Linked DNA regions of Notamacropus eugenii. The protein of the gene in region 3 binds, or shares a complex with, the protein of the main gene of each other region. Links are inferred from orthologs where the notes say so. Each region holds a gene or a part of one and is shown on either strand. Other genes may lie near its edges.

Evidence for each region.
Region 1: the proteins of KLHL12 (region 3) and PLEKHA4 are in contact, whole or in part, in a crystal structure (PDB 8OIO), measured with the Homo sapiens proteins. The link is inferred for Notamacropus eugenii from reciprocal best matches to the Homo sapiens genes KLHL12 and PLEKHA4. Residues at the interface, in NP_067646.1 of Homo sapiens: Phe289, Arg320, Glu417, Tyr434, Ile439, Phe481, His486, Cys511, Tyr512, Tyr528, Leu533, Cys558; in NP_065955.2 of Homo sapiens: Pro177, Gly178, Gly179, Pro180.
Region 2: the proteins of KLHL12 (region 3) and PEF1 are in contact, whole or in part, in a crystal structure (PDB 8RBH), measured with the Homo sapiens proteins. The link is inferred for Notamacropus eugenii from reciprocal best matches to the Homo sapiens genes KLHL12 and PEF1. Residues at the interface, in NP_067646.1 of Homo sapiens: Phe289, Gln293, Arg320, Tyr321, Leu371, Glu417, Tyr434, Ile439, Phe481, His486, Cys511, Tyr512, Tyr528, Leu533, Cys558; in NP_036524.1 of Homo sapiens: Gly15, Gln16, Ala17, Pro18, Gly19, Ala20, Pro21, Pro22.

Annotation. Positions count from the first base shown.
Region 1 is NC_092876.1:12,631,731-12,638,943, reverse strand, and holds the start of PLEKHA4 (pleckstrin homology domain-containing family A member 4), read right to left. Parts: upstream 3,060-7,213; 5' UTR 2,939-3,059; intron 2,483-2,938; 5' UTR 2,471-2,482; coding exon 2,390-2,470; intron 1,731-2,389; coding exon 1,626-1,730; intron 1,116-1,625; coding exon 1,043-1,115; intron 965-1,042; coding exon 864-964; intron 511-863; coding exon 401-510; intron 1-400. Other genes in the region: PPP1R15A (protein phosphatase 1 regulatory subunit 15A), read left to right, coding at 5,002-5,070. UniProt on the Homo sapiens protein: Binds specifically to phosphatidylinositol 3-phosphate (PtdIns3P), but not to other phosphoinositides.
Region 2 is NC_092876.1:78,258,327-78,265,476, reverse strand, and holds the start of PEF1 (peflin), read right to left. Parts: upstream 3,076-7,150; 5' UTR 2,200-3,075; coding exon 2,176-2,199; intron 1-2,175. UniProt on the Homo sapiens protein: Calcium-binding protein that acts as an adapter that bridges unrelated proteins or stabilizes weak protein-protein complexes in response to calcium.
Region 3 is NC_092873.1:437,284,961-437,292,460, reverse strand, and holds the start of KLHL12 (kelch-like protein 12), read right to left. Parts: upstream 3,054-7,500; 5' UTR 2,923-3,053; intron 2,521-2,922; exon of another isoform or gene 2,069-2,520; intron 1,051-2,068; exon of another isoform or gene 961-1,050; intron 1-960. UniProt on the Homo sapiens protein: Substrate-specific adapter of a BCR (BTB-CUL3-RBX1) E3 ubiquitin ligase complex that acts as a negative regulator of Wnt signaling pathway and ER-Golgi transport.

The DNA.
Region 1 (7,213 bases), on a different chromosome or scaffold from region 3:
GCTGGAGGAGATGGCCGCTGAGGTGGTTTTAGCTCTACATCTCTGATTCTTGGATTCTTGGGCAGGGGGCAGCTAGATTGTGCCATAGTGCACAGAGCACTGGGCATGGGATCAGGAAGCCCTGAGCTCAAATGCGACTTCATACACTTACATACAGTAGCTGTGTGACCCTGGGCAAGTCACTTCACCCAGTTTGCCTCAGTTTCTTCAACTGTAAAATGAGCTGGAGAAGGAAATGGCAAGAAAACCCCAGATGGGGTCAGGAAGAGTCAGACAGGGCTCAACAGCAACAACCAGCCTTAGACTGCTCCCCATTTTCCAGATGAGGAAGCTGGGGTGCAGTCAGGGACAGCCATAGAGGGGCTGGGATTCAAGTGGCGATAATCCTGCCCACACTTACTAGTCATCCCCTTCAGCTCGGGTGGCACGACCCAGAGCCCGCAGCCACCCGCGAAGGTCCTCCACCGTATCAGCGGCCAATACGTACGTTCTCATCCCAGGGTGCTCAGCCTGGGAAGGGAGGTGAGAAGGAGGGGGACATAAAGCTCAGGGAAGGAATTTTTGGGCCTGAAGGAGAAGGGCTGGCTGCCAGTTCTTGAGGGGGGGGGGGGGGTCAGTAAATAAGCATTGATCTGGTTCTCTTTGCCAGACCGATGTACTGGGTCCTGGGGCTGTGTGCTGACAGTCCCTGCTCTTAAGCAGCTTATGTGTGTGTAGGGGGGAGACATGCACAGAGCCAGCAGATTACAGAGAATAGAAGGTAAGGGGGAGGGGCAGGGAGGCACTAGCAGCTGGAGCAGTGGATACCAGGGTCCCCGAGGGGTTCTAGGGGGGAGAGGACACCAGGATCATCTCTAACTCACAGTGAAAGTGTAGCGGCGCCCCCGGGGGGCCCCAGGGCCATCTGGACGGACACTGTAGCTGGGGAGAGGGACACTGCCCAGGACACTCTCCTCCCGGCTGTCTGCAAGGGAGTCAAGGATCAGCGGTCACTGGGGAAGGTTTCTCTATCCCCATTCCAACCCATCCTTTGGACACTGACCCTTGTAATAGAAGAGGCAGTGGCCAGACAGGACAAACCAGCGCCGCTTCCAGAGCCGGAGGCCAGAGCTGTCCTGGGAGAGAGACCAGAGACACCTGAGTGCCCTGAGACAGGTGAAACCTCAGGAGGATGAGGTGGGAGTACAGTGAGACAGGCAGAGAGGAACCTGGGGATAGGGAGACAGAGGGACAGGGGGATGGGGAGACAGAAAGACATGGAGGGGACGGAGATGAGAGACAGTGAGACAAGAAGACACAGAGACACAGAGACAGGGACGGAGGACCAGGGCGAACAGTCATATTTTTAGAACCTGAGACCAGAGCTGTTTTGACAAATATTGGCAAGACCTGAGCATGTACCAGGAAATGGAGATGAGGTGAAGGGAAATAGAGTCGTGGAGGGTCACAGAGACAGAGCCAGCAAGACAGCAAAGATTGGGGGCAACCTCGGCAGCAAAGAGTGACAGTCACGGAGCAAGTGAAAGCTGGGGTCCCTCTGCAGCCAGTAACAGGGCATGCAACACAGTGCAGAGCCTAGGGAGGTGACAGACGAGGGACAGGCAGGGGCCCTAGCCCCACAGTACCTGCTTATGCAGCCAGCCTCGAATGTCCACAGGCAGGTTGGGGTCTCTGCGGAGGGAGCTTCCCCTTTTCCCAAAGGCATGGATCCGGCTGACTGCCCGAGGGGGCTAGAGGAGAGAGAGGCAGGAAAGGGACTGCCTGGGGGCACAGGGAAACCTCAGACCTGGAAGGGCTCCACTGTAGGGGAGGGAGGCACTTCTCATTCTCTTCCCTTCCCCTCATTGCGGCGGCGGGAGGGGGGGGGGGGGCGTGGTCCAGGACCGAGTGACTGCTCTACTGGCAGGGCAGGCTTAGGGTCCTGGCCAAGAGGAGTTGTAGGTGGGCAGAAACCCCAGATCTCATTCCATTCATTCAGTCCAATTCAAGGAGGCTTTATTAAAAGTGGCAGGCACCGTACTGGGAATAGAGACAGGCCTAAGGTAGTACTTGTCCTCAGGAAGCTCACCTCCTCTTTTAGTCCTGCTCCCCAGGAGCAGATGCCCTAAACTATTAGGATTTCAGAGGAAGCACGGGCAGAGCGACTCAAAGAGTAAGGAAAGAATATGAAAAGGAGGAATTGGGGGCTCTTTTCAAGAGCTGGGCACCCCCAGCACCTGGCTTGGGAAGGAATTGGGCCAGGGGACAGTCTCACACTCTGAGGTATTGGGTGTTTTCATGGCCCAGCTGCTGGTCCCTCTCCAGACCTTGGGAGCCCAAACCTTGACACAGGGAGAGGGAGGTCCACCAGCCCACCTTCTCCCCACCCCACCTCAGCCACCTGCATCACCTTGGTGCTGAGGCTGATGGAGGAGACAGTGGAGACACTGCTGGCCATGCTGAGGCTGCTCCGGGGCCTGCTTTCCTCCATGTTGGGGAGCCACTTGAAGAAGAAGAAGAAGATTGAGAGAGGTTCAGGAGGAGGAGGAGCCCAGGCAGGGTCAGTGACCCCAGCAGTGGGGAGGATAAGGAGAAAAGCCTCCTTGTGTGAGATATACAGAGTAGGGGGAGAGTTGGGGGCTGGGGGAGGCCTTGGCCCCCTGCCACATACCAAGAGGCAGTGCCAGGGGGTGGGCGGCTACAGCAGCTGCTAGGGGGGAAGCCAGAGAAAAGAGGCCTCTTTATGTCCAGACCACCCCCCCTTCAGGCCAAGAATCTGCCCCTCCCTTCATGCTTAGAGATCCACATCGCCTTCCCACCCCTTAGTCTGGCTGCCCTTGTAACTCCATCCTTCTTCAACCCCCAGTCCTGATCAAACATACCAACCCCCCCCCTCCCCAATTGTAGGAAGGAACCCAAGCATACCTGTGTCCCCCCTCCCCCAGGTCTAGAAACCTACCAGGCCCTCCAGATGAAGGAAGTGGGATCAGCACAGATCCAAGAGCACAGCTGGGTGTTCCTTCTTCAGTTCCCAAGTGCTCTCACTCCCAAGTGGCTCACCCTTCCTCAGCCTCTCTCTGCCTCCTGTCTCTTTCCTTTTATTTGTCTCTCACTGTCTCTCTGAATTTCTTTCGCTCTCTCTGTTTCTGTCACTCCCTGTGTGCCTCTCTGTGCATCTGTCTCTTCTCTCTCTGTCTCTTCCTGTTTTTCTTTCTCTGTCACTTGCTGGCTTTTCTTCTCCTTGTTTCTCTATTCTCCATCCACTTATCTCCTCCTCTCTCTCTCTCTCTCTCTGTCTCTCTCTGTCTCCCTCTCTTTCTCTGTCTCTCTCTCCCTGTCTGTCTCTCTCTGTTTCTGTCTCTCTCTCTCTTTGTCTGTCTGTCTCTCTCTCCCTGTCTCTCTGTCTCTCTCTGTTTCTGTCTCTCTCTCTTTGTCTGTCTGTTTCTCTCTGTCTCTCTCTGTTTCTGTCTCTCTTTCTTTGTCTGTCTGTCTCTCTCTTTGTCTGTCTGTCTCTCTCTCCCTGTCCCTCTGTTTCTCTCTCTCTCTCTTTGTCTGTCTGTTTCTCTCTGTTTCTGTCTCTCTCTCTCTCTTTGTCTGTCTGTCTCTCTCTCCCTGTCTCTCTGTCTCTCTCTGTTTCTGTCTCTCTCTCTTTGTCTGTCTGTTTCTCTCTGTTTCTGTCTCTCTTTCTTTGTCTGTCTGTCTGTCTCTCTCTTTGTCTGTCTCTCTCTCCCTGTCTCTCTGTTTCTCTCTCTCTCTCTTTGTCTGTCTGTTTCTCTCTGTTTCTGTCTCTCTTTCTTTGTCTGTCTGTCTCTCTCTCTCTCTGTCTGTCTGTCTCTCTCTCCCTCTCTCTCTCTCTCTTTCTCTCCCCCCCCTTCCCCTACTATTCCTCCTCTGTCTTTCTATGCCTCCCTCTCTCTCAGTCCCGGGTTCAGTCTCTCTCTCTCTCTCTAACTCTGGATTTCGGGATCAGCCTGCCCATACCTTCCTGTCTCCCTCGGTCTCTCTCCGCTCTCTGGACCTCTCCCTTTCTCTACAGTAGGTCCGTGTCTCTCCCTTGTTCCTCAACTCCTCCACCCACGCTCTTCCCTCCCTCTGGCCGGCCCCTCCCCTCCCTTGACCCCGAGGCTCCTCGGCCCCCACAGCTGTCTGGGTGGGACTCAAGGGGCTCCGCACAAGTCTCCTGGGTCCCCGAGAGTAAAAGGACTGGGGAGTCAGACCCCAGGCTGGCTGAAAGGAAGCATGCAGCCCGGCTGGCACGGGCAGGGGGGCTGGGGGCGGGGTGCAGGAGAAGGCTTGACCAGAAGGTTGCCCTGGACAGGCTGTCCTCCAGGATTGTTGACTGACTGACTGACCGACTCGGGGAGGAGGTTATACAGGTTCAGCCAGAAGGCTGGGCGCTGTGCTGTGACATTAATGGGATCCGAGGGATTAGGAGGGGAACCCGCCTGCTCAGGCCCCCCCGCCCCAGGTGCGGCAGGGACGGCAGGCTCATCCCCTACGAGGGTGACAAGGGGCTAGGCGACCGAGCCGCGATCCAGAGGATGGCCGGGCGGGGCGGGGCTGCTCCGGACTGCTCTCGGAGGTTCCAGAGCCCTGAATCACCTCCTGGGCGCGGGATCCCCGGAGCACGGGACCATGACGTCATCGAGCTCCCTGATCGCCCCGCCCCTCCTATGACGTCAGCCCTAGGGGATCCGAGCGATTCCACTTAAGGAAACTCCGCTCGGGAGGGAGTGGCAGCCTTGCGTTCTTCGTTTTCCCCCGCGCCCCCCCTTGCCTGACGTTGGTAAACTCCGCTCCGTGACGTCAGCGCGTCGTATATAAGGACCCGAGGAGCCGTGTTTATTTCAGAGCCAACCTGACCGGAGAAGCAGGAGTACACAGAGAGACCGCGGAGCTCTGGCCGGACATCGAGCGCAGACGCCGAGCCTTTGGGGTCCCCGACAACATGAGCCCTAGCCCCAGCCCGCCGTGGACACCGCCGTGCCCGTGGACTCCTCCGCCGTGCCCGTGGACACCACCATGCCTGTGGACACCGCCATGCCCGTGCACGCCCTCGCTGCCCCCAGGATGACGCGCAGCCCGGACCCTGTGAGTCCCGTGGGGACGGGACGGACCGGAAAGGGAGCCGGGGCCCCGAGGGGCGGGACGGGAGGGGGCGCCTGGACCCCGAGGGGGCGGAACGGACCGGAAAGGGAGCCGGGGCCCCGAGGGGCGGGACGGGAGGGGGCGCCTGGACCCCGAGGGGGCGGGACGGGAGGGGGCGCCTGGACCCCGAGGGGGCGGGACGGGAGGGGGCGCCTGGACCCCGAGGGGGCGGGACGGACCGGAAAGGGAGCCGGGGCCCCGAGGGGCGGGGACGGGAGGGGGCGCCTGGACCCCGAGGGGGCGGGACGGGAGGGGGCGCCTGGACCCCGAGGGGGCGGGACGGGAGGGGGCGCCTGGACCCCGAGGGGGCGGGACGGACCGGAAAGGGAGCCGGGGCCCCGAGGGGCGGGACGGGAGGGGGCGCCTGGACCCCGAGGGGGCGGGACGGGAGGGGGCGCCTGGACCCCGAGGGGGCGGGACGGGAGGGGGCGCCTGGACCCCGAGGGGGCGGGACGGGAGGGGGCGCCTGGACCCCGAGGGGGCGGGACGGACCGGAAAGGGAGCCGGGGCCCCGAGGGGCGGGACGGGAGGGGGCGCCTGGACCCCGAGGGGGCGGGACGGGAGGGGGCGCCTGGACCCCGAGGGGGCGGGACGGACCGGAAAGGGAGCCGGGGCCCCGAGGGGCGGGACGGGAGGGGGCGCCTGGACCCCGAGGGGGCGGGACGGGAGGGGGCGCCTGGACCCCGAGGGGGCGGGACGGACCGGAAAGGGAGCCGGGGCCCCGAGGGGCGGGACGGGAGGGGGCGCCTGGACCCCGAGGGGGCGGGACGGGAGGGGGCGCCTGGACCCCGAGGGGAGGGACGGGAGGGGGCGCCTGGACCCCGAGGGGGCGGGACGGGAGGGGGCGCCTGGACCCTGAGGGGAGGGACGGGAGGGGGCGCCTGGACCCCGAGGGGGCGGGACGGACCGGAAAGGGAGCCGGGGCCCCGAGGGGACGGGACGGACCGGAAAGGGAGCCGGGGCCCCGAGGGGCGGGACGGGAGGGGGCGCCTGGACCCCGAGGGGAGGGACGGGAGGGGGCGCCTGGACCCCGAGGGGGCGGGACGGACCGGAAAGGGAGCCGGGGCCCCGAGGGGCGGGACGGGAGGGGGCGCCTGGACCCCGAGGGGAGGGACGGGAGGGGGCGCCTGGACCCCGAGGGGGCGGGACGGACCGGAAAGGGAGCCGGGGCCCCGAGGGGCGGGACGGGAGGGGGCGCCTGGACCCCGAGGGGAGGGACGGGAGGGGGCGCCTGGACCCCGAGGGGAGGGACAAGACTCCTCAGGGGACGGTATAGTGCAGGAAAGGGGTTTGGGACCTCTGAGGGGACAGGACTGGACGGGGGCAGGGGCATTAGGGGATAGGGAGCTGGGAACTTCAGAACGGAGAGGGAACGGGGGGCTCTCTGAGAAGATGAGGACCAGAAGGGTCCAGGGGGCCCTTGGATCCTCAAGGTGAGCAAGGAGAACTCCCAGCAGGGAGGGCAGGCAGGAAGGAAAAGGTTAAATATTATTAATGTGTGCTGGATGCCAGGTACTGTCCTAAGTGCTCTATAGGTACGGTCACAATTCTGAGAAGTGCTCTTATTCTCATTTTACAGCAAACAGAGGTTATGTGACTTGTCCAAAGTCTCACAGCCAGTAGGCTGCTGGAGGCTGGATTTAAACCTGGGTCTTCCTGACTGCAGCCGCTGAGCCTCCACTGCCTTGTAAGTGGTGCTTGAGGCTCTCAGAGGCTAGAAACGCCCGGGTAAAGCACACAGGTCTAGGTGAGGTAGTTGGTGCTTGTTCCTCGTTCTTGAAGAGGACCATGACATCAGGGAGGTGATGCCATGACATGCAAGTGAACTGATTTAAGTCATTAGGGTGACGGAGATGGCCCAGGATGTGGTAGGAAACCTTGGTCTTTTGCAAGTCTCAGTTTGACTGAGGCAACATCCATCTAGTGATGAGGGCTAGGTAAACAAAAATGAGACAAAGAACCTAGGCCAAAAAGAAAAAAATCGAAGTAGAAGGAGAAGACCCTCAGAGTTTCTGGCCAAAATAGAAACAATTCCTATTTTTACATTCACTCTGAGTCAATCAGAGTTCAAACAATGACTAAGTGG
Region 2 (7,150 bases), on a different chromosome or scaffold from region 3:
CTTTTCTGGTTACCTTTTGCCTTGGATGGACCAATTTCCAGACATGTCTCCCCCAGTGAAAAGGAAGCCCCTTTGAAAATAGGACTTATCCTTGGTTTTGCTCATGATTCGGGCTACAGCACACAGCAAGTACTTAATGTTAGGCACTTACCCTTTGTTGAATGAAAAGAATAAGAAAACTCTTTCAACTTCCCACTCTGGGCAATTCAACACATATTTAGGATACCATCCCTGCAGTGTGTGTGTGGGGTGTGTGTAAAGAAGGGGAGGAAGCACCCCAACCACACACATACACTCTATATAAGACAGCTGAAGAGCGGATGGGTCTGGAGGCCTTGAACACATACCAGCTGTGTGACCTCAGTCCAGTCATTTCACCTCTGCTTGTCTCAGTTTCCCTAACTATAAAATGGGGATCACAACAGCATCGACCTCACAGGGTTGTTGTGAGGAATAAGGGAAAGCATATGTGTAAAGTGCTTTGCAAACTTTAAAGCGCTATATAAAAACCAACCATCAGAAGGAAAATTAAGGCAAGAGAAAATGTGACTAACTGGGGGAAGCAGGTAAAGATGCATGGAAGAGGCGACACCAGAGTAGAGCCTTAATGGCCAAAGGGAGGAGGGCATTCCAGCAACGGCACATCATGCTTAAATGCACAGAGACAGGAGAATGAGCTCTGGAACAGATCCAACCTTGCTAGGACCCATCTGTGGTAGGGAACAGCAGGAGATAATGATGGAAAGCAATGGAGCCGTATTTAATTCTGGAGGTAATGGGGACCTACTGAAGGTATATGAGTAAGGAATGATATGGTGAAAAGGAAAATTATCTTGATGTCAGTAGTGGTATGAAGAATGGATTGGACAAGAGACCAGGAGCTTGGAGATCAATTTTGGCCTGAAAGATATTAGAACGGTCCAGATGAGAGGCCACAAGGACCTGAACTAGGGCAGCAGATGTGACGGGAAAGGCAATGGATGTGGGAGGGGTGGAGGCCTAATTAACATGACTTGACCACGGTCAGCTCTGAGGACTAGGATGGAGAAAGAGAAAGGGAGACTGAAGTTATGGACCTGGGCAGGGCAGCGGGGCCTCCAGAGAAACAGGGAAGTTTGAAGGGCTGGCTGAGAGGATGCATGACAGTGCATTGCGTCTGTGGCCAGGGAAGTACTATGTTCACACGGTCCTGTTCTCTGCTGTTTCTTGAGTTCACATCCTGCCTTCCCTAGACTGAAGCTCCTCATGGGCAGGAGCCACTCTTACCAGATAAAACGGGGAGTCAGAAGAGGACAGGGAATGCTGGATCTGAAGCTCAGCTTCACTACTTGACAGCTCTGTGACTGAGGGTGCTTCCCTTTGGGGGGTCTCAGTTCTCTTATTGATTCTTAATCTTTTCTATGTCGTGGCAGACAAAGCGAGCCTCCTGCTGTTTTTAAATGCATAAAATAAAACACGCAGGATATTGAACAATAATAAAAGACAAAGCTATTGTGAAGACCGAGAGAGCTTTAGGAGGGTCAGGCATTACCACTACCTTTGCTATTCCACCCTCCTCCTCCTCACCACCCACCCCACAGGACTACTGTGAGGAAACACAATTCCACACCAACAGGAATGACGACCGGCAGCTGAGAGAGCCCGGCCCTGGCCCGGGCGGTCATCAGAGGTTCTCCTCTTGGTTCTGCTACTAACCCACGGTCCCCAGGTCCTCAAGGGCGGCCCTCTGACCGCACCCGCACTCCACAGAACGGATCCCCTCGATAAGTGGATCTGTCCTGTAAAACGGCCGCACCCGAGGACCTAGCAGGCCACACGCGGTCTTCAGGCTGAAGGTTCCCCATCCCTGCCTTAGGACAGGACCTGTCAGAGGCGGAAGGCACCTAGAACGCAGAGCGTCAGAGCTGGAAAGGCCCTTAGAACACAGGCCATCGGCGGGACCCGGGGCCTCGGACACCCCAGGACGGTGGCCCGGGGGGCGTGGGAGGCTCGGGCGGGAGCCGCCCTCAGCCGAGGTGCCAGGGGGGCACGGCCGCCGCCGCCGCCGCTTCCCGGCCTCTGCCCCTGGCTGGCGGAGGCCCCGGACAGACCTCCCAGCCGGGGAGGAGCCCAACCCCCAGGCCCGACCCCTCCCGGGCCGGCCCGGATCGGTTCAGCGCTCCCTTAGTCACTCACCTGCCCGTACGGGTAGCTAGACATGGCGTCTGTGACGTTGCGGCGCGAGGAGGCGCGGCCTGCACGTTCTCACGAGAGCGAGGCGGAGGCGAGCCCGGCTGCTGATTGGAGGGGATCCGTGGGAGCCTTGGGCGGATGTGACGTAATGAGGCGAGGCTCGCTTACCACCAGCCCCGGCTGGCTCCAGGTGGAAGTGCCCCTTTGGCCTACGTTCGGCTGCTGTGGCGGCAGCCCGGCCTGCAGGCCCTCGGGCTCTTTTCTCCTCCACTTCAAAGACGCACCTCGGGCTCTCCGGAGATGCCTTGCTTCACCAGCGAACAGAGGCCGCGGCGGCCATATTGGACCAGGCCGATGGAGTAGCGGGGCCTGACTTGCAGTGCTCCTTTAACGTCACATCCTGGCGAGCCGTTCTCGGAGGGGCGGGGCTCGGGTTGTCTGGGTGGCAGCGCCCCCTGCAGGACGGGGGTGTAGGCGCCAGGGAAGCCTGGCGAGCAAAGCTGGGGATGACGTTCTGAGGCTGATGGCACGGATGCTCACTCGTTCATTCACTCACTCACTCGTTCATTCACTCAGTCATTCACTCACTCGTTCACTCACTCGTTCATTCACTCACTCGTTCACTCACTCACTCGTTCACTCACTCGTTCATTCACTCACTCGTTCACTCATTCGTTCATTCACTCACTCGTTCACTCACTCGTTCATTCACTCACTCGTTCACTCACTCATTCATTCACTCATTCGTTCACTCACTTGTTCATTCACTCACTCGTTCACTCACTCATTCACTCATTCATTCATTCACTCACTCATTCATTCACTCATTCTTTCACTCACTCATTCATTCACTCACTCGTTCATTCACTCACTTGTTCATTCATTCATTCATATACCAAATAAAAACCCGGTAATTCCCTGACTTCACACTTCCCAGTTCGCATTGTCTCCTTTTTCCTCCCGCGGCCACTCATCGTTCAGACCCTCCTCATCTTTCACCTTTTGTGGTTCAGTTGTATCCAACTTTGCCATTTCCATCTCTAGCTCATTTTACAGATAAGGAAACTGAGGCAGAGTTAGCCACTTGCTCAGGGTCCTGCAGCTAACAAGTGTCTGAGACGGGATTTGAACTCATGAAGATGAGTCCGCTGCCCCACCTCTCTCACCTGGCCTGCTAGTAGCCCCTAGTTCACCTTCCTGCCTCAAGTCCCAGCAGTCTAATCCTGGGCTGCTAACGTGTTTCACTCCCTTGTGCAGTAAATGCCAGTGGTTTCCTATGGACTTTGGGGTCAGATATCCACGTCTTTGTTTGGCATTTAAAGCCCTGGAGAAACTGGCCCTGACCTGCCTGTCCAGCCTTATTATGAGTTATTTACTCACTTCCCTGCTCTCAGGGCCCCAGCCACCTTGCTCTTCCTCACACAAGACACTACTTTCCCACCTCCATACTATTGCCCAGGCCATCCCTCATGCATGGGATAGACTTACTTCCTCTTCACCTCTGCTCCTTAGAATCCCTTGTTTCTCAGCTCAAACACCACCTTCTCCATGAAACCCTCCTCTTATGCCCCCAGTCTCGTTAACTTGTATTTACCTTGTGTGTACTCATAAGAATGAATGGAAAAAAACATTTTCAGAAGATTTCCACCCCAGGGTAGTTGGAAAGGAGACAGTTCCTTAGGGTGCAGCAATGGTGCATGGTAATGCCCAAGAGTCTTGAGGAGTGGTAGCAGTAGGGTGGGCGCTAAATTTCTGTGGTCTACTATCTTACCCAAAGGATTGAAGTTGGTGACTCCACATAAGGAAACTGAAGCCCATGGGGTTCAAGTAGCATAAGTCATTGCCTATTTAGGCAGTGGAATGGGAAGGGGACAATCATTTATTAAACATTTACTATGTGCCAGGAAGGTCAGCTAGATGGTTCAGTGGATAGAGCACCAGGCTGGAGTCAGGAAGATCCGAGTTCAAATCCAGCCTCAGACACTTGCTAGTTATATAACTCTGTGTAAGTCTCTTAAACCCTATTTGCCTCAGTTGTCATCTATAAAATGGGGGCACATTGAAGAAGGAAATGGCAAACCATTCCAGCATCTATTCAAGAAAAGTGCAGTAACAACAATAACAAAAATGTGCCAGGAACTGATCTAGGTTCTTTACAAATATCTCATTTGATCCTCACATTAATCCTGAGAGGTAGGTGTTATTATAATCCTTATTTTACAAGTGGGGAAACTGAGGCAGATATTAAGTGACTTGCTCAGGATCATGCAGCAGTAAACCACAGAGCCAGGAATCTGTTCCTGGTCCTCTGATTCCAAGTCCAGGGCTGAGTCTCTGACTCAGGTCAATTTGCCTAGCTAGATTCTCTTTGCCTGGACTTATATTTGTGAACTGTTAGTTGGAAGGACTCAAGTTTGGTCCCCTCACTTTACAGATGTAAAAGAGGGGAAGCTCACAAGGCTGCTGAGAGGCCAGTCACTTTCCATTCTTCTCCTGTTCTTTTCCTTCCCAAGGGCTCTGGCTCTTGAGCAGTGAGAGGGCTTGTCTAGGACTTCTATGTCAATTGTCCCGTTGGGAGCTCAGTTTCCTCTTCTGGAAACTTGAGCGGGTTACAGGAGATGATCTTCCAGCATTATCTCACATGATCCCCCTCGGGGCCTTGCATGCTCCAGCCAGACTGGACTGCTCTCTTGGCCTCCTGAACTCCATCCTGAGCTAAGGCAGCTCACACCTCTCCCCAGCTCCACTAGCTCTGGTACTCATGTTATTTATAGGAAACAATGGACATTCCCCAAATTCCTTCCATTTCTTCTGTTGAATTCCTACCCATCCTTTAAAGCCCAACACAGATGCTGCCGCTCCTTCATAGTGTCTCAGTCCCCTTTTTGAACACAGCCCTTTGTCCACATCTCTCTAATCCACTTATTGTATAATAGAGTTATTTGCCATATCTCACTCCTAGTCTGATCTTCAGGGGGACAGGGACCCTGTCTTAGCCCTCGAAGAGCTTTGCAGGGTGCATAATGAGTATCTGTTGAATGGAATGGAATGATCTGTAAGGTCCCTTCCAATTTTAACTTATCAAAGAGTCCCGAATCCTGAATTGTGGCCCTGCTTTTGTTCCTAAATAACTCCCCTTTCTGGGTCTATTTCTTCAACTGGACAATACCGGGGGTTCAGGGTAGGCACCCGTGGAGATGAGGTACAGCTTCTTGACTACTTCTTTTTAACTAGGTGGAAGCCAGTAACCTCAGGTTCTAGGCCTCACTCTTCAAATTTACTTGCTATATGATCCTGGGGCAAGTTTCTTCCTTTCTTAACATGTAGAAAATAAGCCTATTAATCTCTGGGATATTCTCACAAAATAGAGAACTAAGTGGTGGGCTACACCCAGCTGACAATTTCCACCTCTATAAGATGTAGGGTGTTGGAGCAGATATTTCTCTCTGATCTCTTCCAGTTTATAGTCCTGTGGGTTCCCTGTTGGAGGACTGTCTTGACTCAAAGACTTAGACTGGGGGGGGGGGTGAGTAGGGAGGGACCTGAGACATCTTTCAGGCAGAAGGTCAGAGCCCAGGCCCCCACACAGCTGTTCAATGATTCTTGGAGCATGGAGGACTCTTTGTTCTGCTTCAGTTGTTTATTTTTGAGAGGGCTGAAACAGGAGGACCAAAGAATTTCTTACAGAAGGAGAAACTATCTAATCCTTTGTGAAGACTCAACCAGGGAGGGATGGTGAGATGTGGGTGGTAGCTAAAGGGAAGGGCTTGAGCAGAGGGCTCTTTGGAATGCTTTACTGGCCTAATAAAAGTTCCAGAGTTGACCCCTCTAACTCTAAAGTTAAAGCATAACTTGGTAATGGGAGGTTCACCCTCTGGAAAATATTACTACTCTTGGAGACAGACTGGTCCCACCGCCTCCCTCTCCTAATAAAACTCTCTGGCTCAGCTTCTGGTTCCAGGATTACTTACCAAGAAGGAATCCTGTTACCCACAAAGATATCAGGGAATTGATTCATTCTGACTTGAACCAGATCAAGACTTTTAACTGCTACTTGGAGGCTGTGGAAAGGAGGGTGGAACAAAGAGCCAATAGACAAAAGAATACCACACCTTGGCAGTTTTGCAACATTTCCCTTCCATTATGGGAGGGCATGGAAAGTAAATTTATAAACTATTTCTTCCTCCCCAGAAACCATTAATGAACAACCAAAACAAGTAAATCTCACAGACATGCAAGGAGTCAACAGACAATAAACGAAAGTCCGGTTTTAAGGCTAGTTTTCAATGATGGAGGAAATTGTTAGTAGAGGATTTGAATTTTACAGGACCCCAAATTTAGTCCCTTTCTCTTTATGCAGTTGGCTGCCATTTCTCCATTTTACAGAGCAGCTGGTTCATGTTCCAGTTTCCTCACTTAAGGATCCTACCACCTCTGGAGACCTTACAACATGGACAAACATGTGTGGCTTCCTTGCAGTTTTGGATGGGATGAAAGAACCCCTCAAGGTAGACACAAAACAGAAGAGAATGCCCCAGGAGGGAAGTGAGGCTTCCAGAGAGACCATCTCCTTTCTTGGGGTTCAACTCCTATGCCATCTGCCCAAAACCAGAATAACCGATGAGCAATTTTGAGAATGGTTTTAAACTGATTTCCCACTGACCACATTAACAAAAGAAGGTAAACCCAAATTTTTCCCAAGGTCCTATGTGACCCATGATGATGCAGCAATTTCAAACACCAGTGAGATGGACTGTCAAAAAAACTTCAAATTTAGACTATAGGATAATTATCGCAGACTCGTGATAACTTGACTCATTCAAGTGAGGCTTCCTGCTATGAAAGGAATTCTCTATTAACCCTCAAAGAAAATGGATTCCAAGCTTCCTAGTAGAGTTTCTCCAGCCCAACCTTCTATGCATCCAATAAAACTGGTACCCAGTTTTTCTCTCCCTTTCCCTTGAATATATCTCTCACA
Region 3 (7,500 bases):
TGATGATTTTTGAAAAAGACAAAAGAGGTACCAGAAAACAGAAATACTGCCCTGACTAGTAAAAAAAGGGCTAGAAGGTAAATTCCCAAAATTTAACACAATTCAATTATTAATGAGCTTGCTGTTGATCTCTGGCAAAACCCTAAAAAAAGAATAAGTTGGTAGGCTGAGTAGTAAGAATGGTATCATTAAGAACCAGAACAAGTTAGTTAAAAACAAGTCATGTCAGAATTGATCAGGGTAATAATGTACCTGGTATTTTAGTGTATGATATTATACAATATCTCTTATGGCATTCCTTGTAAATTAAATGGTAAGATTCCAGTTGGTAGGGAGCGTTGGTTGTCAACTTGAAAAAAGGTCCTTAGCACTAGTCTCTTTGAAATTTTTAATCAACGGTCAACAGATTAATTTTTTAAAAGATAGAGATGAAACATTTATCAGATACATAGATGAAGTAAAGCCAAGAGGGAAGTATATGCTGGATGAAAGACCAAAAAATTTTGCAATAGGCTGGAACCAAAATGGGCTATATTAGAGGTAAAGTAATTCAGTTCATAGTGCTGGACTATGAATCAGTTAGTCCTGGGTTCAAATCCTGCCTTTGATATGAGCTGGGTAACCACAAACAGGCCACTTAACCTCTCTGGTCTTCACTTTCCTCATTTGTAAACTGGGAATAACTGAAGCACCTACTTCAATAAGGTACTAGGAAGCTCAAATGAGATTATGTAATGGGGCTTTGCAAACTTCAGAGTGCCAAGGAAACTTCAATTATTATTACTTGCTGCATAATAACTTAGATGTTACCTATATTTTATTGTATTTTTGTTAATTTTATTAGATATTTCCCAATTACATGTAAATCTGATTTCGGCAATGCTGGGGCCAACTCTTTGACACCTTTGCTCTAAGAAAATGATTCTATGACTCCACCTCTTGGTTCCCTTCAAGTCTTACCTAAAATCCCATCTTCAAAAAGACTTTGGGAATTCTCCTTAATGCCAGTGCCTTCTGAGATTATCTCCAAGTTATCCTGTATATCCTTTTATATTCATTTGTTTGCTTGTTTTGTTTGCCATTAGATAGTGGGTTCCTTGAAGGCAGGAAATATTTTTGCCTTTTTTAAAATCCTCAGCAGTTAGTCTAGTACTTGGCACACAGGAAGTATTTAAGTAATAATTGTTGACTAAGGGGTTCTTGGGGCAATGGTTTGAGTAAAACAGTGCAATGTGGTAGAAAGAAGTTTCGCCTGTAAATTAGAAAAACTAGTTCAGACTCTGGTTCTGCTGTTAACTACTTGTATAACTTTGGAAGAGTCTCTTCACCTCTTCAAGTTTTAGTTCTCTCAACTGTGAAATACAAAATTTTGATTAGATGATTTCTACAGCCCCTTGCAAAACTAACCTTTTATGATTCTTTTTCTGAAAGGGCATCTCTGTTACTGGGTATTAATTGACCAAAGTTACAATGCATCAATAAATAATAAGATCATATTGTATTAAAATTTCTCTCTGGATTCAACCCAAGAGCTTAACTGAGGCTCCTGAACACATGGAAACCCACCAACTTGATTTATGGCAAAGTCTATTACCTTCCAGGTTCAATAACAGTTACTCATGGCCATCATTACATAAATAAAAAAATCGTATGGTTTGACAACACAGTTACAATTCATTAAATATGATGACTGGTTAAATTTGAATCAGTCCATTTTTTAAAAACAAATACTCTTTGGGGGAAAGAATGGGGGAGACCAACAATTTGCCCCATTTTCTTCAGTCTAAAGCTTTTCAAATGATCAAGAGAATATGATTGATTAAAGTAAAATTGGGGAGTCTTTGATAGCTTATTCTCAACCACCATTTTTCAATATCAAAGACAATTCTAGGCCACCTCATTAGCAGAAGTATACTTATGACAACTCTTTCATTACTACTTATCTTTTTTTTTTTTAAAAAAATAGGTTAATCAACACCTCATCTGTACAGGGCAGGTGATCACTGTTCCCACTGTACAGATGGGAACATAAATCACCAAAGCAGAAACCATTACAAAATCAAGGGACCTTGAGTTATTGAGTGCTGTCGATTCTCTTCTGTTCGGGGTGTCACTACAAGTGGGGAGGAGGAGCCTGTGCAACCACTCTGAGGGCACAGAAATGTCACATACGAGGCAGCTAGACAGCACAACGGTAAAATACCACTGGACCCAGGTGAGAAAGCCAAGTTTCCATCCAGCCTTACACAAGCACTAACTGTCACTTAACCTGTTTGCCTCAGTTTCCTCAACTGTAAAAGAAAAAAACCACCGAGTGGCTGTGAGGATCAAATGAGACGTTTGTTTAAAAAAAAAAGAGTGCTTAGCGCAGACCCTGGCACACAGTAAGAGGAACATAAATGCTTATTCCTGTCTCTTGCCATCAGAAGGAAAGACAAGTGGAATCAGCTTTGCCAGCTCCCTGTGTCCCGTGAGGGCAAGGCGTTACTTCTGGGGTTCTCGGTTTATCGGCCGTACAATGAGGGGGTCGGACTAATGATCGCTGAAGTGCCTTCCCATTTAAAAACACGTCCGGTTGCGCTACACCCAAAATCAGCGCTCACAGAAGCCACCCCCCCACGTCACGAGCAGACCCCCCTCCCCAGCTGGGTCTGGAAGGGTCGTGGGAACGTGCGGTTCAACATCGGTCCACTTTTCACTTGCGGCAGGATGACAAAAGGCCCTCTTCCCAGCCCCAGAAGGAGGCCGGTCCCGGGAGAAGGGGGCGGCGGCTCCAGGGCGCAGCGGCCGGCAGTCCCGCCCCGTCCTCCCGCGGGCTCCGCGCCTCCGGGTCCCTCCCCGGCCACATGAGGGCGGCGGCGCGCGGACGGGGCGGGGAGAGGGCAGGGGAGGCTCAACTGTGGCTCCTCCAACCCCACTCACCTCAGCACCCCGCCCGACCCAGCCAGGCAGGGCTGGCCCCCCGCCCGAGGGGGTGGGGTGGGGTGCGGGGCCCGCAGGCGGCTCGGTGGGCGCCGAACAGCCGCCGCCGCCGCCTCCCGGGTCCGGAGCCGCCAGAATCGTGGTTATCGTCGTCGCCGCCGCCGTCGTTGTCGCCGCCGCCGTCGCCGCGCGACGTGATGACGCAAGGAACGCGAAGACGGGCCCCCTTCGCCTCCTCCAAGTGCCACGTGACGTAGGGGGGGTCACATGACCCTCCCCGCACCACACTTCCCGATGCCGCTTGGAGCCGGTGGGAAAAGCGGAGGAGGGAATGTGAGACTTTGGCGGAGCTGAACGGGGTTTGGGCGGCACGCTGAAGCCCCTCCTCTACGGCGGCTGGCCGGGCAGGGCCTCCGCTCAGGACCCGCCCGCGGCCGGCTTCCCCGGGCGCGTGGCCAGGCCGCCTCTCAGCGCTTGGAGGAAAGCTGCGGAGCCGTGGCCTCCTTCCAGGCCCATCACTCAGAACGGCGTCTAGGGGCCGGCGGGGCTCGGGGGGCGCCTGCCGGTGTGGGCAGAGTCGACGCTGGGGCCGATTCTTCCCCCTCCACGTTCTCTGCATCACAATGGGGCTGAATCATCCGCGCCCCCGGGCCTCGGGCGGTCCCTCGTCTTTGGGGGCGGGCCGCCTCCTTCCGGGACTGTTCCGTGGAATCCCGAAGCCCCGGGGTCCGGCCCTACGGCCGTAACCTCATCCTGAAAGGCCACTAGGTCCTAGAGGAAGCAAGGCCTTTAGGGCGTGGGGTCCGCCGCGATCTTGCTGGCTTCCGTAGTCACGGGAGATGGGAGCGGGCGGGGCCGGTAAAAGCCTGTACCCCACGGTTTGTGGGAGGGGTACCGCCTGCGAGTCTGACCTCTCCCCTCAGGGACTCTGCAGATCTGCTCTTCCCCCAACTGGCTACTCCCAACGCCCGCCTCCCTGCGTTTGTACAAGTCAGTCTCCATCCCTGGAATACAGTCCACCTCTCTGCCTCACAGAAATCGTCTTCCTTTTAAGGTTCACCTCAGTCTTCCCTGGTTTCTTGCTGTCACTGCTGTGTTTTCTTAGTACAGAGTTTTCATCCCAGTAGAATATAAACTTCATGAGGGTTGGAACTGTTTTCTTCTTTTATCTTTGTATCCTCTGTGCCTAGCACATAATAGCCACATCCGTAATAAATGTCCCTCCAGGACCACCATAAGTCAGTTAACAAACATTCATTATGTGTCTCCTATGCCGGGTAGTGTGTGTGCGCCAAGCCAAGGGGTACAGAATGAGGCACAAAACATTCAATTCCCCCATAATATAAAGTAGTAGCTCATTCTAATGGGGAAGACAACAAATGAATATGTACAAACAAGCTATATACAGGGTAAATAATAACTAAAAGACAGGGCACTAGAATTAAGATAGTTTGGAAAAGGCTTCCTGTAGATGGGATTTTAGTTGAGACACCAATCTTCTTGATTCCTATGTTCTTTGGTGCTGATGTGTTTTTTTTTTTTTTTTATCAGCTCCCATGAGTTTAGTAATCATTTTTGGGTAGATGACTCCTAACCTCTCCTGAACTTGATTTCCAAATTTTAGTTGGCTGCTGGACATCTCCACCTGGTTGTTAGATAGTCACATCAAACTTAAAAAAGTGGAATTCCTATTTCCCCCCAAAAACCCATCCTGCCTCTGAATTTCCCCATGTCTATTGGCACAATCATCTTTTCAGTTACCTAAAGTTCTCAACCTTGAAGTCATCCTTGCCTTTGCCTTTTCCTTCAACCCCATTTCCCTATTCTGTATCCAGTCAGTTGCCAGTCTTGATTCTTAATCCACATCTGCATCCTTATTTTTCCTAAAAATACAGTCTCTAACTTAATTCAGGCCACTATCACCTCTCAGCCCGGACCATAGGACCTATGTTTTAGCCTCCTAATTGGCCCCTTTCAGTCTCTTACCTCCCTAAACTCAACAGATCTGCCCATGTCTTAGCCCTGCCCCAAAGTTTTCAGTGGCTTCCTACAGTCCCTAGAATACAAAATATTCACATGTAAAGCCTTCCACAATCTTGCTTCCTTTCCAGGTCTTTTAAATAATAGTAATAATAGCACTTCTATAGCACCTACTATGTGCCAGGCATTAAGTGCTTTACAAATATTTTATCATTACAACAACCTTGGGAAGTATCTTCATTTTGTAGTTGAGAAAGCTGAGGCAAACAGGTTAAATAACTTGCCCAAGGTCATACAGCTAGTATCTGAGGCCGGATTTAAACTCATGTCTTTCTGACTCACCTAGCTGCTTTCTGATTTTACAATTATAAGTGGCTACAGTCTTCCAAACTGGTCTGACTGTTCCTCACACAGGACATTCCATCATTCTCTGTGCACTCCTCTCCGATATCTTCCTCCTCACTTGTCTCTGAACCCTTAACTTCCTTCAAAGCACAGCCCACATACTAATTATCTCCTAAATAAGCCCTTTCCAGATCCCTCCAGTTGCTAGTATTCTGTTCTCTTGAAATTACTTTACAACCTGATGTTTACCCATCTTGTGTACACAGGCAGTTCCCAGCAGAATTCAAGCTCTTTGGGGGCAAAGGATTTTTCATTTTTTAAAAATTGTATTCTCAGCTGTATGATCTTGTCTTAGATGCTTAGTAAACATTTGTTGAATTTAGTGACTATATGTAGCACTTCTGGCTCACTGAAACAGGTTACTTAATTCATTATTTTATCCATTATTAATATTTTGTTCTAATTGGTTCTTCTAGTGAGTCCCTTTATGTTGAATCATTCATGAAAGTTAAAGGGAATAAACCAGACTTTTGCAGAACCTGTCCATCCTCTAACTTTTCCCTGCCAAGTCACTAATCTCAAATCATATACGTCTCTGGCTAAAAGGCACTTGGATGGGTTTTGGCCAAATCTGGCTGCTGAACTTAGGGAATTTTAAAATATGAAGAACATAGCTCAGCCACATCTTTTTTTCAAGCTTCCCGTTTTTCATAAACAAGAAGCTACTGGTAACTTTTCCAGCTGGCTGTTTGTTAGGCATCTTGAACTTGATGTCCCATAGATCGCTTACTAAACAGTCCAAAACTGCACTCATCTTATTTCTTCTCAAGCTCTCTCTTCCACTAGTACTGCCCAGGGTACCATTCTCCTCCCTGTCACCTGAGCCCATAACCTAATTGTCATCCTTGACTCTATACTGTTATCTTCCCCTTTCCCCCAGCCAGTATTTTGCCAGGTCCTGCCAATTCTGCCTTCGAAATATCTCCATACATGGCCCCTTCACTCCTCTTACACTACCACTGTGCTGGGGTAGTGTCATCACTTCATGCCTAAACTCTTGCCACAGCCTTCTGCTTGGTCTCCCAGCCTCAAGTCTTTCTTTGCTCCTGCCCATCCTCTACTTAGCTGCCAAATTCATCTTCCTAAAGTGAAGGTCTGACTGCCACTCCTCAATTCAAAAAACTCCAGTGTCTTCGCTATTATCTCCAAGATAAAATATAAAATTCTGTTTGGCTTTTAAAGCCCTTCAAAACCATTTATTACCTTATTAATCTTATACTTTACTGTCCTCCAGTGACTTTCTGGCTATTCCTTATATAGGACACCCTGGTCACTAGCTGTTTCCCATGCCTGAAATTCGTTCCCTCCTCATCCCTAGGTCCTGGCTTTCCTTAAGTTTCAATTAAAAGCCCGTTCTCATAGAAGTTTTTCCCAACCTCCCTTAATGCTAGTGCTTTCACTCTGCAGTTATTTCCAATTTAACTTGTATATAGCTTCTTTGCCCATGGTTGTTTGCATGTTGTCTCTCCCGTTAGAATGTGAGCTTCTTGAGAGTAGGGACTTTTTTGCTTCTCTTTGTATCCTTAGCATGTAGCACAGTACAGGGCACATAGAAGGTACTTAATGCCTGTTGACCTGACCTCAAGTGGCACAGAGGTATAAGGAACCTATGAGATCCTAACTCTGTAACATTCAGTGACAGTTTAGGTACATACTAGATCTCTTAAGCTATGGGACATTTTAGACATATTCCTATTTTCTGGCCTGCTTTCTGAAGGTCAAGGCTTATCCCGAGTTTCCTTCACTACCCAATCCTTCCTCTGTTGTTCCTTGGATGCTCAGCATCGTTGGAGAATGTCACAAAATAAGGTTCAAACTTGGATGGTCTTCGTGGCCTTAGATGCCCTGAATGTAATAGACTTCTGCTCTAGTCAGCTACCACCACCTTATTTTCTTCTGCTTCACAGCCAGTCTTGTAGAAACAAGGAAAGGAGAGGGTACCTGATGCCTCTATTTTCTCACTAGCAACTCAGTCCCCCACAGTCTAGCGTCTATCACAGCTGAAAGCTTCTTTGAGGTCACCAAAGCTGATTTTCACTTTTCATCCTCAGATGACTTTTGGGCCTTTAACCAAATGACAAATCCCTTCTTGGAGTCTCGTTTGCCTTTGAAATACCACACTCTTGATTCTCTAGTCCCTGCTTGTCTTTTCTAGATCTTTCTCTTTGCTGAGGTTCTGTCCCTGATCTTCTC